Linked DNA regions of Drosophila melanogaster. Changing the gene in region 1 together with any one later gene gives a genetic interaction. Each region holds a gene or a part of one and is shown on either strand. Other genes may lie near its edges.

Evidence for each region.
Region 2: of ptc (region 1) and en, changing one suppresses a phenotype caused by changing the other (phenotypic suppression), as found in Drosophila melanogaster (one study listed by BioGRID).
Region 3: of ptc (region 1) and Uvrag, changing one enhances a phenotype caused by changing the other (phenotypic enhancement), as found in Drosophila melanogaster (one study listed by BioGRID).
Region 4: of ptc (region 1) and l(1)sc, changing one enhances a phenotype caused by changing the other (phenotypic enhancement), as found in Drosophila melanogaster (one study listed by BioGRID).

What each region holds. Positions count from the first base shown.
Region 1 is NT_033778.4:8,647,750-8,652,674, forward strand, and holds the start of ptc (patched), read left to right. Parts: upstream 1-1,899; 5' UTR 1,900-2,672; coding exon 2,673-2,801; intron 2,802-2,947; exon of another isoform or gene 2,948-3,304; intron 3,305-3,501; exon of another isoform or gene 3,502-3,747; intron 3,748-4,925. UniProt on the Drosophila melanogaster protein: Segmentation polarity protein. Acts as a receptor for the hedgehog protein (hh). Associates with the smoothened protein (SMO) to transduce the hedgehog signal leading to the activation of wingless, decapentaplegic and patched itself.
Region 2 is NT_033778.4:11,523,478-11,529,836, reverse strand, and holds en (engrailed), read left to right. Parts: upstream 1-1,626; 5' UTR 1,627-2,166; coding exon 2,167-3,478; intron 3,479-4,611; coding exon 4,612-4,709; intron 4,710-4,989; coding exon 4,990-5,238; 3' UTR 5,239-5,831; downstream 5,832-6,359. UniProt on the Drosophila melanogaster protein: This protein specifies the body segmentation pattern. It is required for the development of the central nervous system. Transcriptional regulator that represses activated promoters. Wg signaling operates by inactivating the SGG repression of EN autoactivation.
Region 3 is NT_033779.5:13,285,046-13,290,098, reverse strand, and holds Uvrag (UV-resistance associated gene), read right to left. Parts: upstream 3,323-5,053; 5' UTR 3,160-3,322; coding exon 2,786-3,159; intron 2,726-2,785; coding exon 1,858-2,725; intron 1,798-1,857; exon of another isoform or gene 1,795-1,797; coding exon 1,472-1,794; intron 1,448-1,471; exon of another isoform or gene 1,420-1,447; coding exon 1,009-1,419; intron 924-1,008; coding exon 809-923; 3' UTR 543-808; downstream 1-542. Other genes in the region: Drep4 (DNA fragmentation factor-related protein 4), read left to right, coding at 3,690-3,929, 4,281-4,404, 4,459-5,053. UniProt on the Drosophila melanogaster protein: Involved in biosynthetic vesicle transport to lysosomes. Acts as a cell growth regulator. Also has a crucial role in controlling organ rotation by regulating membrane-localized Notch receptor endocytosis and subsequent degradation.
Region 4 is NC_004354.4:408,035-411,348, reverse strand, and holds l(1)sc (lethal of scute), read right to left. Parts: upstream 1,629-3,314; 5' UTR 1,554-1,628; coding exon 780-1,553; 3' UTR 532-779; downstream 1-531. UniProt on the Drosophila melanogaster protein: AS-C proteins are involved in the determination of the neuronal precursors in the peripheral nervous system and the central nervous system.

The DNA.
Region 1 (4,925 bases):
CCAAAGATGGCGCAATCTGGGGAGAGCGAAATAAAGCTAAAATATGCATGTTGGAGAAAAAATGCCGCCCATGTCGCCAAAATGCGCCACACGCAGAGTGAGCGGGCGGAGGTGGGAGTAATGGAAAGGGCGATGAGGGAACGATTAGCTTGAAGAGAGAGAACAACAAATGAATGTGCTGCAACGTTAGTTCAGGTGAGCGAGTTAGAGAGAGAGTTGTTGTTTTTTGATTGTAATAGCTCGCTTGGTGGTGGGTCCACATTCACATCTCCCTCTCCCACTCTTTCTCCCCGAAAGAGAGAGCGGGAGCGAAGGGGCACGAGGGGAGCACGATGACTATGCAGTTGCATTCAATTTGAATTTCCATGGTGCTGATGATTCGAGCGCCAATTTTTTCGAAGAGTTCTTATTTGTTTACTTCGTTGTTGTTGCCTCAATTGGAAAGGGAAAATGTGGAATGCGGAGAAACACCAGAAGCAAATGCATTTCCATTCATAAATCCAAAGAAGTTTTAAAGATAACATGTCATTTGGCTTAAGTTCGTGGTGCACAAAAAAGATCGGTTTGCGGTTGTCGCATGAAAATGAGTTTATTCCATTGGTATATTATTATTCAGAAATTAAAAAAAAACTTGTTTAGTCTATTTTTTTTTTTTAAATAAAAAAAAAAAATTCTTTTATAAGTCGATTTTAGAGTAAATATTTAAAGACTACGTCTAATAAACATATAATTTGTTCTGTGTTTTAATTTGCCGGCAAAAACAAACCTACTTGTGTGGTCCTCGCACACTCATAACCCCTCGCATATTTGAGATTCATGGGGCAAAGAGGCTGCAAAAACAATGGAAAGGGAAAAGCAGAAACATCCTGCCGCTCATAATTTAGCATCGGAACATGCAAAAACAGACATCATCGCATGGGGCAGCAGCAACAGCCATAAAACCAACAACACGAGCAATGTAAAGCTAACAAATTTGCCAACAGTTCGCGGCACGGCTACACACACACACATGCATGCGCAGCCTGCCACGCACGCGCTTCCCCCAAACAAATACACACACACACACTGAGACGAAAGCTCCATTGGGCAGCGCTGCCGACGCTGAAGGCCGACATCGGCAGAGCTGAACGTTTGGGTAGGGGACCACCCACATCGCTTGGCGGTTTCAGTTTAATGAAGGCAGAAACAAATTTATTTTTGGGTGGTCCACACTGCAGCGAAAATAAACTACAGTGGCAACAACAAACCAGCAGCCAAGGCACTTTGGGTGGTCCATGCAAAAAAAAAACAAATTACGGCATGCGAATAACAATAGAAATTAGCGCTCTCGTGGCGGAGCTATTTGGGTATATTAGAGCTACATATTTTATTTGTTTATAAAAAGTATAAATGTAAACAATGAGTTCCAAGCATTAAGTCCGTATGCTCAACAATTACATTATCATTATTATTATCACTTAAATATTTACAAAGGATATTTAAACAGTAATAGATATATATTTTATTTCTTAATTTCTGTTAACATATGTATTTACATTGGTAGTTATTCTTTATTTTGCAACAAGCATTCATAAATTTTATATAACAAACTTGGTATTTTCTCGGAAAAACTCCTGAATCACCCCTCGGTATTTTGTGCGTTGAGCTATCGTTAAAGCAGCCCTCGCAGAGAGCGTTCTCAAACCAAAATGGCCGCACACGAAACAAGAGAGCGAGTGAGAGTAGGGAGAGCGTCTGTGTTGTGTGTTGAGTGTCGCCCACGCACACAGGCGCAAAACAGTGCACACAGACGCCCGCTGGGCAAGAGAGAGTGAGAGAGAGAAACAGCGGCGCGCGCTCGCCTAATGAAGTTGTTGGCCTGGCTGGCGTGCCGCATCCACGAGATACAGATACATCTCTCAGACTGCGTGCGATCCTCGAACGAAACGGTTGTAAGTGCGGAGCGCGACGACTTGTTATTCGTATTTCCGACTACTGGCACTCTCTGTGTGTGGTATACTAACAAGATAGATATCACAGAACTCGTGGAAAAGCTAAGATATTGTACCTCACGGATGCGAGGCGAAGTTCATGGATTAAATGCCAGGCAACAACAAAAGCCAGCCAACCAGCCAGTGTTTGTGTGTGTGCGTCGCCAAGTGCAAAGTAAAGTAAAGGTAAAAGAGCGAAAGGCGAGAGAGAAAACCGAATACGTGAGTCGTCCGACTGCCGCTTTTCCATGTGTAAAAGATCTGTGAAAATTCTGTCAAATTCCCCTGAGAAATTGTGCCCAAGATAAAACCCGAAAACCGCGTTTTAATCGTCGAAAAAACCCAGCAAAAGCGAAGCCAGCAATCACAACAAAACAACACAACGAGAGCTCAGATACACAGCGTGCTCAGTGAGTGAGCGAGAGAGCGCGGGAGAGAGCGTCTCTTGATTTAAAATACAAAATAATTAAAAATAAAAATGCGGAATGCAGTGCAAAATGCAGCCAAACAAAATACGAGATTCCAATAACAATTAATCGAACCGAAAGTCCACGAACAATCCGCACACTGTCTCCCAAGTCTCAGTTCTCAGGACGCAGACGAACGGCAGGCACTGTAGAAAGACCGATTCCGCAGCACACTCCCATCTGCACATCTCCGCCACGCGATTCCGTCCGGAATCTGGCTATAAACATAACCATAATGGACCGCGACAGCCTCCCACGCGTTCCGGACACACACGGCGATGTGGTCGATGAGAAATTATTCTCGGATCTTTACATACGCACCAGCTGGGTGGACGCCCAAGTGGCGCTCGATCAGATAGATAAGGTGAGTGCCCAACTACAGTGAACTTTCACTGTGAAGGATAGCCATGTGTTGAATTCAATAATATTCTTGAATCGTATTCGGAGGATCCTTTATAAGTTTAAATGGAAAATCTGGCTCTTTCGAAACTTTTGTTAGTAATCCCTTTTACTTTAAATTAAGCAAAAGATTTGAAGTATTAAGTAAATTTACAATCTTTTTAAAATTTGAAATTGTTATATTGTACAATTCTTGTCATTAGAATATTGAGACACTTAACTAAAAACCATGATGTAGAAGTTCGACTGTAAATCCGAAGAGCAGCGGCTTTTGTTTAATGCGGCCATTAAGTCGCCGGGACAGATTTCAATAAATTTTATTGCCAATATCTCTCGCAATATTTTTCGCGTTTTTTTCGTCGCCGATGTCTTCTTCGCCGGTCGTTTCGATTTCATTTCATTCGTTTCGTTTTCTTTCGTTCGATTCCCTGGTTAATATAGTTGTCTGATGTTCGCTTGCCAGGCAGCCTATTAATTACAGTGATTAGTTGAAATCCACGCCAATCGGCTTATATGCTAATTTTGCTATTTCGTTCTCTGGACATAAAAAGCGTGGAGGATTTACCTCCAAATATAGACATTTGTTTATGAAACTATTCGCCGTAAAAGTAGACGGAATAACCCTTTCGCTGCAGTCTAAAACTACAACAAATTGGATGTTTTACCAATCTTGTTAGTATTTATTCTCTGTGCACCGCCATCAATCCACATCTATTTTCGCTGCGCAGACGTAGACACACAGCAGGACTTTCGTACTCGTTTCGCCGATCCCAAACCGACCGATCCAACTCCAGACGGACATATCCACAGACAACTTCATTACTTTGGCGCTACTGTGCGCGGCTGGTCCGAAACCGCAAACCGAACAATAACAACTGCAACTGCAACTGCGGCGAGCGCCAAAAACAGCTAGGCAAAAACTGGGCAGCAGCAGCAGCAGGAGTTCCGTCCAGCAGTCGAAAGCAGCCGAAAAGGCAAAAAGCAGAAAGCTTTGGCAGCCGCAGCAAAAATAATAAACAACGCCAGCAACAACTTGCCCAGCATTCTGCTGGTGTGGGTTCGTATCTGTGTGTGTGGTTGTGTGTTGCCTTCCAACATGGGTGGGCGCCGAGGTCTCCGCGAGAGTCATTTCGTACGTGATGCTGCTGGCTGGACTGCCATTGGCCACCCCCTTCCAGCCGCTCTTTTCGGAGCCGCCCCACCCCTCCATCGCCCCAATGCCCCACCGCCCCAGTCAACGCTCCTCAGATGCTCTGTGATACGAGTTGTGGGGCGACTTCGGTTGGGAATTCTTCGCAGATTGATTAGAAGCATGCGTGACGTAATGAGTAATCTATATAATTTCGAAACAATTTGCTTTTTGGCTCTGCACTATGAGATTGATTAGCAAGCGTTTAGTCTAATTAAATGTCAATAAATGAAGGGCGCACATATTTTCATTACTATTTATATAGATTTTTTTTTATTGATCTTGAAGGTATAGTTCAGAAGGTAATATTTCCAATATAGTTGTGAACTCTAAAAAGAGCAGCATGCAGTCTTATATCCATTTTCGTTGCCAAAAGCATTTCAGTTTGCTGCTGTTATTCCCACCCATGCAAATGAAGCAGCCAGTGATCGTTTTTCGGGTTGGGATCGGGCCATTGAATGCGGGTGGCCCAAAAAGCGGAAAAAAAGAAAAGAGCCAAGGAAAAAATTTTACTGACGCACGCGCTTTGTTGTTGCTGACTCTGCTCGCGCAGTGACTTCCAAACTGTGCTACACTGAAAAAGAAACAACCGTTTACAAATAATAACGCTTACATGGCAAAAGTAAGAATTGATTTCCAGACAGAATTGATTTCCTAGTTAAACTTGCGAACTTTACGATAGTTTATCCTTAGGGTTAGTAACATATTTCAAAGATGGAAGTGCAGTAAACATTTTGAGGAAAACTCAGTTTTTCTGTGTGGACCGCCTCAAGTTTTCTCGCTGCTTCGCTGATGCTTTTTACAGCTTGATGTCTTCATCATTGTTGCAGTTGCAGTTCCTTGGCGACCGCGTGGCGTGTCTTGCTCTGTTGTTGTTCCCCCTCATTCCCCCGCCCCATC
Region 2 (6,359 bases), 2.9 Mb from region 1:
TCATGGCAATCAAAGCGGAAAGTGTGTAGGGGAATGGAACGGTGTGGAAGGGTGGAAGTTGAGCGGAAAATCAACAGCTGCCGACGGCAACAGCGGAATGTGTAAGAGGAAGATGGTCAAAGGGGGTGTGCGAGAGAGAGGCAGCAGCCATTGTTGTCATGCGTGAGAGAGCAGGGCAGAGTGAGCGAGAAGCGCACAGTGCGAGAGCGAGTGAGACAACTATCTATTCGAAGTTCGAAATTCAAAAGGGGAAATAGATTTGGCTCCGTTCCAGTTTCCAGTTTTTCCAACTTCGACTTTTAATGGCTGACCGCAGACTGGAAGGTGCGTTCGAACCGGTTAAGATCGAATCGAAACGGTTAAGACCACTCAACGGAATTTCAATTTATGCATCTGAGCTGTTCAAATATATTTATTAATTTATATTCGATTCAAGTCCATTTGATACTTATAAAAATGCGCATAAAAATTGAATAAATTTCGGCCCATTGATTGTGGAACAGGTTAACCACGAAATTTGCTCTAAATATGGATTATGGCTTATTGTTTGGGCGTTAGTTTGTTGGCGCGAATTGCTTATGTCACAATTGGCAACAGGAAATGTGGGAGTGTGAGTGGTGGCGAGATTACTCTCTAATTAAATCCTTTGCCCCATAAATCAGTAGCCCACATGGCAACGATCGCTTTTATTATGCAAAAATTAACACAACAAAATCTGCTAGCTATAAGGCAATTCATTAGCGATTTCGTTATTTGATTTCGGTTTTATTCACATCGAACAGATTCGTTGATTTATGAGCTATATATCAGTGGTTATATGTTCGGAATCCCACATCTATACACTATTTGCAGCACATGTTTCACATTTGTAGATCGTCGGTTGATTAGAGCCCCACAAAAAAGCGTTATTGTTAATGTCCAATGCCAAATGGCGTTCGTTTTTAACACCTTCTAAGGTTTATTTTGACAGTTAGCGATGGTTTTTCATTCGCTCGTCTGGCAAATCGATATTCGATGGGCAAATAAATAAATTAAATGTCAATTAAATATCAATCAATTTCGTCAGCTGTTTTTCAAGGCACATTTAACTGGTTAATTGAAGGCCTCAAAAATAAATTGTCATCGTGTATTTAGCGTATTTTTGTGAAAAATCGCAAATGATACTGGTGGTGGGAGTGGGGGTGATAAAAAGTTTCCCTTCATTTAAATTAAAACAATTAGCTTTGCGGTTTTTTTCCTCTCTTTCGATTCCCCCTCTACACATGGCCTAAAGGTGGTGTCGATAAAGTTGTAGGCTGTAGAAAACGCAGATTGAAACGTCGCGGCCGAAAACAAAATCAACAAAAACTAAATGCTTATGAAAAGTGTCTGTGGAAAGAGATGGCATGTGGCTCTCCCCCTCATGGAAAGGCAGCCATTTTCCTGGCCTACTCGCAGAGGGAGTGAACAGTGCCGCTATATGACCCCCACTCGGTAACGCCCCGTGAGAGAGGGAGAGCTTGCGCCTGCGCAGTTCGCTGGGGACACAGTTGTCAACCGGCTGACAGCTCCAGCATGCGCATAATAAAGTCATATTGCTGCCTAACAAGCCCCCCTCGCCAAATTGGCAAGAGAGAGTGAGAGCGAGAGGGAGCGAGCGAGAGAGCGCTCTGGCCAGCTAATAGGAGTGAGTGAGCCGGCGAAACCGGTTCGCATGGGGCAGGTGACAAGGCTAAGAGAGAGCGAAAATCGATCAGTGTAAGGCCGAAAAGACACATCTTCTACTCTCATCTCTTCATGTCACTGTCACCAACTGCTGTCACTCACTCACTCGCTCGCTCGCACACACTTCGCCAGCTACTTGTGGGATCTCGCCCTCTCGCTCCCGCACTCGGACCTCTCTTTCCACCGTGACAGTTCAATCGGCTCTCGCGTTAACTCTCCCCGACGTCGGCGCTGCGATTCCGAAGTAGTCAACTAATTCAGTCGTTGCGCTCGATGTGAACAGACGTGCGTGTCGGAACAACAGTTGCAAATCAAACACGAAAGCATAAGCCAAACAAAAAACACCAAACAGAGAAGAGAATCAGAAGATTCTGAGCAATCAGAAGAATCAGTGGCTCAGTGTCAAGTGACCCAGTGACAAGTGTCTTAAGCGAGTTGCGATTTAGCACCAAGTCGAAACCAATGGCCCTGGAGGATCGCTGCAGTCCACAGTCAGCGCCCAGCCCCATTACCCTACAAATGCAGCATCTTCACCACCAGCAACAGCAGCAGCAGCAACAGCAGCAGCAAATGCAGCACCTCCACCAGCTGCAGCAACTGCAGCAGTTGCACCAACAGCAACTGGCCGCCGGTGTCTTCCACCATCCGGCAATGGCCTTCGATGCCGCTGCAGCCGCCGCTGCTGCAGCTGCTGCTGCGGCCGCCCACGCTCATGCTGCTGCACTGCAGCAGCGCCTCAGTGGCAGTGGATCGCCCGCATCCTGCTCCACGCCCGCCTCGTCCACGCCGCTGACCATCAAGGAGGAGGAAAGCGACTCCGTGATCGGTGACATGAGTTTCCACAATCAGACGCACACCACCAACGAGGAGGAGGAGGCGGAGGAGGATGACGACATTGATGTGGATGTGGATGATACGTCGGCGGGCGGACGCCTGCCACCACCCGCCCACCAGCAGCAGTCGACGGCCAAGCCCTCGCTGGCCTTTTCCATCTCCAACATCCTGAGCGATCGTTTCGGAGATGTCCAGAAGCCGGGCAAGTCGATGGAGAACCAGGCCAGCATATTCCGCCCCTTCGAGGCGAGTCGTTCCCAGACTGCCACGCCCTCCGCCTTTACAAGAGTGGATCTGCTGGAGTTTAGCCGGCAACAGCAGGCTGCCGCCGCAGCCGCTACTGCGGCCATGATGCTGGAACGGGCCAACTTCCTTAACTGCTTCAATCCGGCTGCCTATCCCAGGATACACGAGGAAATCGTGCAGAGTCGGCTGCGCAGGAGTGCAGCCAATGCCGTCATCCCGCCGCCCATGAGCTCCAAGATGAGCGATGCCAATCCAGAGAAATCTGCTCTGGGATCCCTGTGCAAGGCGGTCTCGCAGATCGGACAACCTGCTGCCCCTACGATGACCCAACCTCCGCTGAGTAGCAGTGCCAGCAGCTTGGCCAGTCCGCCACCCGCCTCCAATGCCTCGACCATTAGCAGCACCTCTTCCGTGGCCACCAGCTCGAGCTCCTCCTCGTCGGGTTGCTCCTCGGCGGCCAGTTCCTTGAACTCCTCGCCCAGTAGCCGACTGGGAGCCAGTGGATCCGGAGTCAATGCCAGCAGTCCCCAGCCGCAGCCAATCCCGCCGCCATCCGCCGTTAGCCGAGATTCCGGAATGGAGTCCTCGGATGACACGCGTTCCGAGACGGGATCCACCACCACAGAGGGCGGCAAGAACGAGATGTGGCCCGCCTGGGTGTACTGCACCCGCTACAGCGATCGTCCCAGCTCAGGTTAGTATCTATGCGATTACCTAGCGTTTAAGTGGGTCAGAAAGAGGGTTCGTCGGGCACCATCTTCAGTGTTGTCAAAACAAGGAAGTCCCAAAGGTTCGTTAAAAAAAAAAAGATGTGAAAATGGTAAATGGTATATGGTTACATGGGGACCACCCTTGGGGAGCGTTATGTTGGCGGCAGCCTTTCAAGCAGCTCTGTTTTGTGTCATAAATCCGAAGGACACTGCCACAATTAGGCGACACGCGGACAATGGCAATGAGCCCGAATCTGACTCCCATTTCTATAACCATGCCCATTCCCATTCCCATTTCGTATCCGAATCCGAATCCGATTTTGGGCCTCACGCAGTGCTGCGCTGCTTTTGAAGAGCGACACTTTATGTGACAACATGTAGCGCAGAGCCAGCGCTTGTCTATCGGAACTGTTAGATCCTCAGGTCGAAGGTCACCGCTCACGCACACACGCCACGCAGAAGCCGAGACCCTAAAACGCGCTGACGATTGACAGGGGAAAAGTAGGTGCGGGGGAGATATGATGGCGGGGGAAGCCCCTTCGAAAGGAGAAGAGTTTTCCATTGACAAGCGGAGATTTTCCTTGCAGCTCTTCTTAGATCGTGTGTTAATTGACGAGTTAAGTGCTTTTTTATGGTCGGCAATGGTTTTTTAATTTGGTGTCGATGCAATCGATGGCAGCCCATAAGCGAGGCGTTGATGGCCCCACTCCGCGGCTAGGAATTAATCAAACGATCTCCACTTACTGGCGGTCAATTAAATTATAATTTACAATGTGTGGAAATCTAATAAGCACTACGGATTGCTGCGGTGCCGCGTTGCCAATTAGCCGGTGACTTGGACTTAGTCGCTAATTAGAGAGTTGGCTAGCTGGCAAATCATTTGCCTAAAATATGCCGTAGACCTTTGGGTTCGTTAACTCGCCGGAGTTCTACTCTTCTCTTGCGCTGACAGCTGACAAATTGAACACTTCCCCGCCAGCACGCGAAAGGGAGCTCCAGCTCCGGCCGAGGAATTCCGCCCAGACATATGCTAATTGAATCATTAATATTATTAATAGTATGTGGCGCATTTATGCAAATAGAACTAACGTATTTCTCGTGTTTTTGTTTATTCCAGGACCCCGCTACCGCCGCCCCAAACAGCCAAAGGACAAGACCAACGACGAGAAGCGTCCACGCACCGCGTTCTCCAGCGAGCAGTTGGCCCGCCTTAAGGTGAGATTCAGTTCTTTTTTCCATATATGGTTATATGGTTATACCAATATCCATCCATATCCATATCCAATTGCCCTACGCTTGTTGTGTCATATTTGCACCAAAATATTGACACCGCCCGCTGCTAATGCATCCTGGCAATGTGGTGTCCCGTCCGTACTTAACCAATCAGCCACGCTCGGCCGAAACCGCAAATAATTGATTTTCCCTACCTGACTATACAACATGGATATCCTTGCCATCCGAAACTCATCCAGCATTCCATTTCTTCCACTTACAGCGGGAGTTCAACGAGAATCGCTATCTGACCGAGCGGAGACGCCAGCAGCTGAGCAGCGAGTTGGGCCTGAACGAGGCGCAGATCAAGATCTGGTTCCAGAACAAGCGGGCCAAGATCAAGAAGTCGACGGGCTCCAAAAATCCGCTGGCACTGCAGCTGATGGCCCAGGGATTGTACAACCACACCACCGTGCCGCTGACCAAGGAGGAGGAGGAGCTCGAGATGCGCATGAACGGGCAGATCCCCTAAGCGCTGACCAATGGTTACCCATAAGGGGTTACTCCTTCTGACGGGGGCGTGCAATATTCGAGGGCGTACAAATGGTTTTCATGTGATATAATTGTAGCGTACATATGTTTTTGTATATATCTCTAAAAATATATATATATATACGTATAATCCTAACCTAGAGTAAGACCCATCCGTAGCGAATTCGAGCTGTAAGTTGTTGGCGTATTTATTTAACCACCCCTGGATAGCCGAAAGTATTATCGTAATCACCCGACACAAAGCCTATCGCTATCGCCGCACTTCAAAAGCTTCGACCTTCAGACGTTTATTCCTACACAAAACACTATCTATAGTTATTACTCCCTATAAATTACGCGCTTGCAACCGCTCTGTAAATTAAGTAACTTAACAGTTCCCTAGCTTAATTCCTAGTTTACACACTTAAGGATTGCTATGAAAGAGTATTTTAGTTTCTAAGCGAAATGTTAACGAGCAACTAATAGCTGGCAAATGCACCTAAGAAAATAACAACGAAATGTTTGTGCTAAAGCAAGTTCATGAAAAGAAAATTAAAAACAAAATAAAAGAATTATGGAAAAAAATTAAAATGCAATTGGTTTCCTCTGGGAATTGGAAGTCTGCTACATTAAAGGAAAATATGCCACCCATATATCGGAGGACATGCGGTCTAATCGGTGGCCTTATTTGTACTTTGTGTAGGGCGCCATTATCTTCTCTACGCTTTTTCATCTGTCACATCAAAGGCTATAGAACATTAAATCACGAACACTTGTCGTCGGGCGAGGGTGCCGCTAATTGCACAATCACATTCCGAACCAAAATCGGAGGCCGTCGACGAGTAACGGCAGCTCTTGCTCTTCGATTCCATTCCGTTTAATTAAAGCCAAATCCGCGCGTAGTATAAACAAATATCTGTGACGAGACAGAAGCCCAACAAACAGAAAGAAAAAAAAAAATGCAAAACTAAAGCGGCAGGGAGCAGTCATCAAATGATTTATTGGCACAGATCTCGCGGCGAGCGGCGTTAATTTGCTGAAAATAAATGCAAACGCGAAATGCAATGCAAAATTGTGGGAGGGGGCGGGATGAGCAGCTGACATTTACTGGCAAGCGTTGAT
Region 3 (5,053 bases), on another chromosome or scaffold:
TTTATTTATTAATAGCCCGGATGTAGCCCGAAAAACATTCAAATCCCGGAAGCAAGTTGCCAGCGAAATAATTTTGGCGAAATGCTAATCAGCTGGCTTTACAGACCACTGTTAACGGAACGGAACGTTTTGCAGCACTGACCAAGCAGTGGCTGTAATATTTTGAGTTTATTAAGGATTTAAAGCAAAACTTACATTTTAAATTATAAAGCAAAAGTTAATATAAGCAGATTGTACAATATTATGTAGTAACAGTAGCACATGGTATAATTTTTATAAGTTAAAGGAGCAATTTATCTTCATACTTTGCAACACTTTTTGGCGCCTAATTCAAACTATAATTAAAACTCATAAAAATACTTTTCAAACAGAATATACAAATAAACTAATTTTGGGGCTCAGCATTATTTCAGAACATATGAAGAAAGGCTTAGGTTTTCCGCATCGTAACCACTTCGTTTATTGTGACCTTGGATATTGTTCGACTTAATCTCTATCGACGTGTTTCTAATGTTTGTCATCCATATTAAATAAATATTTGTCATGTATAAAATATTTAATCTTTATTCGTAGCTTATATTAGCAAACAAACAATAAAAGGGAATTTACACAGAGATCTTAAACAACTAAAAATAATATTATCGCAATGGACTACCGTTCACATATACTTCACCATTGACTTTTATAATTTAAAAGTATACAATACGCGGCCAATACCAAGAAACCCGCTGAGGAGGAGCCGCTAAACAATGCTATCTTGGATATTGGATATAAACGCTGGAAATATAACACTTTTGGGTGCATTAGCTCAGCTGCGCTCAGTTTGCAGAGTTATGTTGGAGTCCGAATTGGAATAGTTATGCTCCAGTCGCGGGCGAAACTCATCCTCGCCATCTGAATAGGACCCCACCGAACGGCAAATGCTGCAAGAATATTACAATATATTATTATTAAATTTTATCCGGTAGTTTTTGTTTTTGGCTCTAAATATATGTATATATAGATTACCGTTGAGTTGACGCATAGCCTTCGATTGCCAGTGCCTCACTCACACCCGGCGGCAACAGCTGCTGGAGCAGTGCATCCTTGACCGCATTGACGCCAGTCGGCAGTGGCACATGATTCATGTCGACCGAAGAGTGCGATTGCGACAGGTGCGGCGCCGTCAACCCATTTGCCAAGCGTGCTTCTCCACAGCCAGCTCCAACTGCAGTTCCATCCCGTTCGTCGACCTCATCCCTTTGCGTTCGTTCGATGTAGCGAAGAGTGCTGAATAGCTCCAGCAGATTGCCAAAAGTGTTTCGCAGATCGCACTGGCCCGTGATGTCGAAGCACAGCTGCGAAACATTCTGGCGCAAAAGGTAGATGGCATACTTTGTTTGCTGCGACGGCAAAATGGAGCGTGTATACAGAGGAAATCTAAGATGGAACAATAAGATACCAAAAGGTAATATTTAGTCTGTGTGCTTACTCTCTTGTTGTGTACGTCAACTCTTTGATATCGTCCACTATCCTTGCTTTCGATGGCTCGTACAGAATACGGTTCCTCAGAGGTCGATCCATAATGATGGCTAACATCTGCACCAAATGGGCAACATAACCCAGTGCCGCACTCACTGCCAGCGGCGAGACGTTATCCAGAAGCTGTGCGTTTGCCGCCTGACGTGACTCGCTCGTGTATTGCTCCATGTGGGGGAAGGCGATGCCGCAGATACTAAATTGCCGACCGCCCACATTCTGGATGTTATAGATCTCCTGTAGCTCCAACACCAGTGTGGACATTCGGCGCTCCACCTTAAAAGGGTGAAAAGGTTTATTAATATACTTGTTTAATGTTATTTGATTCCGCAGCCCCACCTGCCGTTCTATTTGTCTTTTTTGATCGCGCTGTTCCAGATGTTGAGGTGCCAGGGTTCGTAGCTCCAGACGTTCTTTTTCCAGTCGATGTCGCTGGCTGTGGAGCTCCCATTGCTGTGCCTCCCGCTGTTCTCTCATCTCCTTCAGAAGTTGACGGGTGCGCTCGTTTCGTTGGCGAAACGTTTCCCGCTCCGCTTTAAGTAGCCGCTGTTGACTGCTTAGCGCTTCTATCCTTCTAGTTAGCTGCTGGGCATTATAAAGCGTGAGGGGCGCGATCTGCTGCTGCTCGGCGAGCAACACGCTCAGGGCGCGGCCCATGGAATGGTACTGATGGGCGGAGTAGTCGCCGGACAGCGATGTCGTGCGGGGCTTCAAGCGCAGCTCGTTCCTGGTCACACAGTGTACACTGAGGCGGGCTATTTCTCGGCAAACCTCGGCCATTTGACGCCGCTTCTGCTGATGCAAGCGTTGCAGACGTTGCAACGTGAGAAGCTTTTCGAGGTTGTTGCTTCGCCGAATCTCCTGCCGTTGGCACTTCAGCTGTGCATAGCGCATCGTACTCATTCGCAGCACGGGACTCGAACTACGACTAACGGCCGGCGAGTTTATGCCCTCATCCTGCGGCTCTTCTAGTTTCTCTTCCTCCGCATACTTTTGGTAGTGCAAATGCAGCTGCGACTGCAAGGCCTGCTCGCTTATCATCGACGGGGAGGCAAATTGCTCGCCATTCAATTGAAAGACCAAGCAATTTCGTCCGCACTGGGACAATGTGAGGGGAGACAGAGGTATAAGGCCGGAGAAGTAGACGCCCCAGCTGAACAGTAGTTCAGGAGGGCGTGGCAGCCTGCTGGGCGTTAACTGGGATCTTCTGGAAGTAAGTTGGTTGATGATAGCAGAGTTCTATTTGCAAGCAAAGTCTCCTATTTACCCGAAAACATCCTTATGTCTTTGCTCAACCTCAGGCGGTTGGCCATCTCTTCTTTCCGCCGAATAGTGCTTCCACACCTTGACACAGACACACTGCGCATTGGTTTTCCGCCAGGCCTCGTCGTCCGTACAAATCTCCGCCCACTTTTGCTGTTGGTGACGCTGCGGCAGCTTTTCGCTGGTGTAGAACGCTTCGCTAGCCTTGTCCGTGTGTAGTGTGTAGTAGAGGAGCACATCATCCGGATCATCTAGCTCCAGCGACTTCTCATGCGGCCAGGACTCAATATTGAATCCCTGAATTCTGTTAAGGTTCCGCAGTCGAAGTTGCTGGGTGGCTAGGGGCAGCCACTTGCGGCATCGCGGCCGTAGATTCATCGTAAAACGCCTTTCCGGGTGAGCTGCGGATTACGCGGAGCCCGTAGCCCAGATCATTGTACACTAAGACTACGTTTGTTATAGTTTTTCCACAGAAACTTTTAACAAAAAAAATGATTACCCGAACAGCTGTTTTTAGATGCATAAGTGCTGCAAAACACTGAAGGCAATAGTGGTGGGAAATGCGCCGTTCAACTTGTATTTTATTAATTTGGCTATTTTCATTTTATTAATTTACACATTATTTAATTTAAGAATAAATGAAAATTTTATCAATTTGAATTGATTAATAAAAATATAAAAAATATTTCGTTAATTACAAAACACGGGAAAAAATAAATTATTATTATATAGCTTTTTGCAATTTTTAGCTAAAATTGCAGCACAACTAAAGAATCTTTCAATGAGAATCTAGTGTTGAGAAGCGCGAAAAATGCCTTGTTCTGCTAGTTTATTTTGCTTTGTCCGCGGATAAGGAAACTTGCTGCGAGGACTACATTCCAAAGTTGACTTTATTATGAGCCAGAACGATGATCAGCTACATTAGAGATGCAATCATGTCACCGACAACACGCAGCAGCTCGAATAACAAGAAAAGCAGCCAGCCAACAGGCGAAGTTCTCAAGGATGTGAGCTCATCCGAATCCAGGGGAACAGCAGGTGCTCCAATGCGTGGCTACAAGGTTACTGACAACGAGCGAACGAGGAAATACGGAATCGGAGCCAATTCCCTGGAAATGCTGATAGCCAAGGCAAAAAGCAAGTTCCCGGTAAGAAAAAAAAAACAGGAAAAACTCCTGCGTAAAAGCGCGAAATATACACCCACCCACGTAGATGGGCTGAAAGTTCCTGGCTCTGGTAATTTTCAAGGCCATGTCCCTGGCAGTGGCTTCCGCGTTTGTTTGGCTCTCTTTCAATGCCACTAGTAAATGCCAATGCGCATGTCCTGTATAGTAGAGCTAACCACCTGTTGATGGAACGTCCTTGCCTGGCAAAAAAAAAAAAAGAGAAATGTGAAACAAACTGAAGGCCCCTGAACCAGGAATTGGGCGACCTGGCCTCGTTATAATTCGGCCATGTCAAGGGCATTACAATTAAATCGTTTTTTTTTTACCTTTTAGCTTCTCGAGCCACATTTGTATTTGGCTTCTGATGGCTTCGAGGTGTCCGACGATGAGTACTTAAAAAGCCTACCCGCCCAGACGCTGTTCATAGTGTCTGGCCCGGATGCAGTCATTACAACAGGTGAGCTGCAGTTTAAATATTTAACTTAATCACAATTAATCTGTCTTCTATTAGATGCCGATTTTGAGTTTGAGAAGATGCGACAACAATCGCCTTTGCTAAAGGTGGCTGACATTTTCTACGATTTTATCGAACAGCATCCGGAAAAGTTCCGCCGCATGATAACGGAGTATGAACACCAAAAGCAGCGACGCGTCCTGGATAACAGCAAGACCCACCTCAGCTTAAAGGCCGAGCACGTGGAGTGGTTCACGGGCGGCGAGGAGCGCTTCCACTCTAAGGAGGAAGCTATGGCCACACGTGCCCAGACACGTGTGCGAGGCTACTACTATAAGGCCAAGGAGGAGCTGACCCGCAATCCCTTGTACCGCCAAAATGCCAAGGCCCGACAAGTGATAAACTCTGTGCTGGAGAAGTTTCGATACCTGCTCATCGGTTGCGACTTTTTCTCCATGATGTTTGACCGGAATTGCAAGCAAAAGCATGAATTCCTGAAGCAGCACTTGGGCGACGAGGAAACAGACGCTGGCAGGATACCCAGCAAGAGACTGAGGCAGGTGATTAGGGAGTACACCAAGGAAAACTGCATCCTCGACGAATGGTCCACTTCCTTGTGCTCCGACTTGGGTGACTTCTATTGCCAGGGCTC
Region 4 (3,314 bases), on another chromosome or scaffold:
GTGGATTGTGCGAGTCTTCAAGTACTGATCCTTGGACTAGGACAATTTCATCCTCTCAGGCGTGACTGCCTATTTCCGGGCTATTTACGCGCCATTAACAATTCCCGGCCGAATTGTAGCTCGTTAGGGAACCAATCATGAAAATATTCGCTGTTGTTTCCTGTCAGGTGCTTAACTCTATGTTGGTTACGAATTTTGAGTGAGTCATGTCCACGCTCCAAAAGTAATTGAATATAAATAATAAATTGGGTAACTTTTTTGTGAAATTATTATTTCTATCGCTAGTACCATTATTAAGCCTGAGGCCAAAACAGCTAAGCTAAAAAATAATAATAATAATATAAAAATACATAAATTAAAAACGAATATCATAACATATATATAGTCAAAGCAATGCTTCAAAATGCAGATTGTTTAAAAACCTTTTTGGCTCTGATGCTGGTATGAGAACGAGAACTCGTTGTAATTACCCTACATGACGATCTGAATATATTTACGAGTAAGTGATTTCAGTAAAAAACATTTGGAATTAAATTTATCAATATGTTTTTATTTTGGCTTAAAAGTAGTTAGTTTAGTGTCTTCCATGCTTATAACAAACTTATAACTATGAAAAAAATATGTCTTCCATTGCGTTAAAATATAATAAAAAAAAATATGGGGTAACTTAGAGGCTAATGTGAAATTTGAGACTTGGTTTTACACTCACTAAGGCAACAATTTAGGGTATTTACAGTTTGTACAATATTTGTTTGTTTGGGACTTTTAGTAAGACCCCTTCACTGCTCTTGCCAAGATGAAATATAATCGAGTAGCTCCTCGTCATCTGGCTGCTCGTCACTGAAGCTATCAAAGGAGTCGAATTTGAGGTCCTGCTCTTGTAGTTCCTGTTTGATATAGCCACCTCCGGAAATCTCGGATCCGGAGTACGACGGCGTGGGCGAGGCGGAGTGGTACGAGTGGGATTGGGCAGACTGGGTGGCTCCCGTCAAGAACTGTTGCGAACTGTCCAAACTATCGTTGTAATCGTTATAGCTGCTGCCATCGTTGCTACTTTCATCGGCGGAATTGTAGATGTGACGAGTTGATGAAGCAGTGCCATCATCAAGCATGTCCTGTAGTCCTCGAATATATTCAACGGCGATTCGCAGTGTGTCCACCTTGGATAACTTCTTGCTGCTACCACGTCCTCCATTGGACAGCGAGTTTACCACAGTTTGAGGCAAATGCTGGCGGAGATTGACGAATCCATTGTTCACCTGCTTCACGCGATTGCGTTCACGGGCATTTCGTCTGGCTACCGATGGCAATTGCTCGCCATAGGGCATGTTATTGTAGTTGAACTTCTTCTTCTGGGAGGACAACATGGGTCCAACATTGGACTGTTGACTCTGCTGCATATTCTGCAGTTGGCTGGTACCCAAAGGTATTTTCGGAGCAATCAACTGGTGCTGCTGCGTTTGATGGTGATGCTGATGTTGCAGCAAGAAAATGTTACTGTTGGTCAGCTGGTAATGCTGCTGCTGGAATTTGCTGCTGCAAATGCTCGTCATGGTAATCCTTGCGAGAGTTTTCTAAGATTTAGTTTACAGATGTTGACTGTGTGGAATCAGATTCCGCAATGATAATTGCTGTTCTGATCTAGGGCTTTAAATACCCGGCAGTGGCAGAGGGAAACGCGCCGCGACAGAGGCAGCGACTTCGGCAGAGGAGCTACAGGGGTTGGTACGGGGTCGGATCCTGGCTACCTGCCCTCGAAAAACCGGGACCTAAGTCCTTTGCACAAGTGATCGTACATTTTTCCTCTCTTTCTAGGGGTTCTTTTTCTGTGGTGGGTGCCTCTATTCCTACTCAGTCTCTGTGTGCCTACCTACCCATCCTTTTCCCTCTCCCACACACTCTTTGTCCTTTGTGTCCGTCTACATAATGCATTTTTTCCTTTTGGGAAAATTTTAAATCTCAGATCTGCAAGATCCTTGTCATGGCTAAAAAAAAAGATTTTGAATGCACTTCCACTTTTGTCGAATGTCGTTTGCATTGAAAGCGAAAAATAAAGGAGAGTGAGATCTTGGAAGGGAATTTGATATAAAATGTGATCCATCAAATGAAAGAAAATGATGCGAAGGCAAAAGAAACAAACTTAAAAGACCATGTCGTGGGACTTTCACTGTCTTTAAAACTGCGTATCCACTTTTATATCCTGTAATGTTATGAACCTTCATTAATATTTTTTCTGACCCATCTGCATTTGACACGTGCTTCCGATCAGTCCGGTGCATTAGCATAAGCTTCAAAACAATGATACATAACATCGCAGAGCGGCGCAGACAAAATCCCACAAGTGTGTGCTGTATCATGAATACCAAGCGTACTATAATAAGTAAGGGGACGGCCAGACAAATAAAAACGAAACCATCACAAAGGCATTGAATATTGACAGCAGTTGGGATCAAAGTTGCAGTCGAAACACTCTTACCCTTTCATCAAACGCTTGTGATACAAGAAAGCGATCTAAATTTGGGCTGTGCACTCGACAAAAAATGTAATATTTCTGACTGGTTAATATATGTCTTGTATGAACAAACAAAAACTGAATTCAATTAATTTGCATAACTCATTAAATCGTATTAAGGCTACGATGCAATTTAAAATATTTTTTTGGGAAAATATTTTGATAGTGTTGCATTATTGAATAAATATTTTCTTTTAAAGATAATTATTTCGTGGAATACTTCTAAAAATCGAATGGCAGTTTTGATTTTAAAGCATGAAGCATTTGTGTTGCTTTAATATCAAGACATCACTCATAATCAGGTTTAGTTCTAAATTATCAAATTAGTATGTCGAAAAGCATTAAAAAAGGTCTTTAAATGTTATTTGACTAGCAAATTAGTATTTCAAAAAGCTTTAAAAAATGTTATGTCTTTATTTATTTGCTGCTTGCTGTAGGGTTGTGACTTATTATGCCCAGTCCAAGAAAGTAAAGTTATTCCGTTTACCAACAATCCCCCTGCAATTAAATTAAGCATTCATAAATCTGTAAGGAGCTGAATCTGAAACAAATTTCTGGATTCGCAACTTGCAACTTTGTTGCAATGGGAAGGCAATACCGTTACCGAAGACGGATAAGTCGAGTTACGAGATTGCTCCCATAAATGCATAAAATCTTAAAAAAAGCCATAAGCAGCTGCCCTAAAGGAGATCAGAAAATTAGAGGAAATTGATCCCACAAGAATGAACGCTGAAAATCATAATAAAGCAAAAAAAAAAAAAAAAAAAAAACACCATTTACCTAATAATTGGTTTTTAAAAGT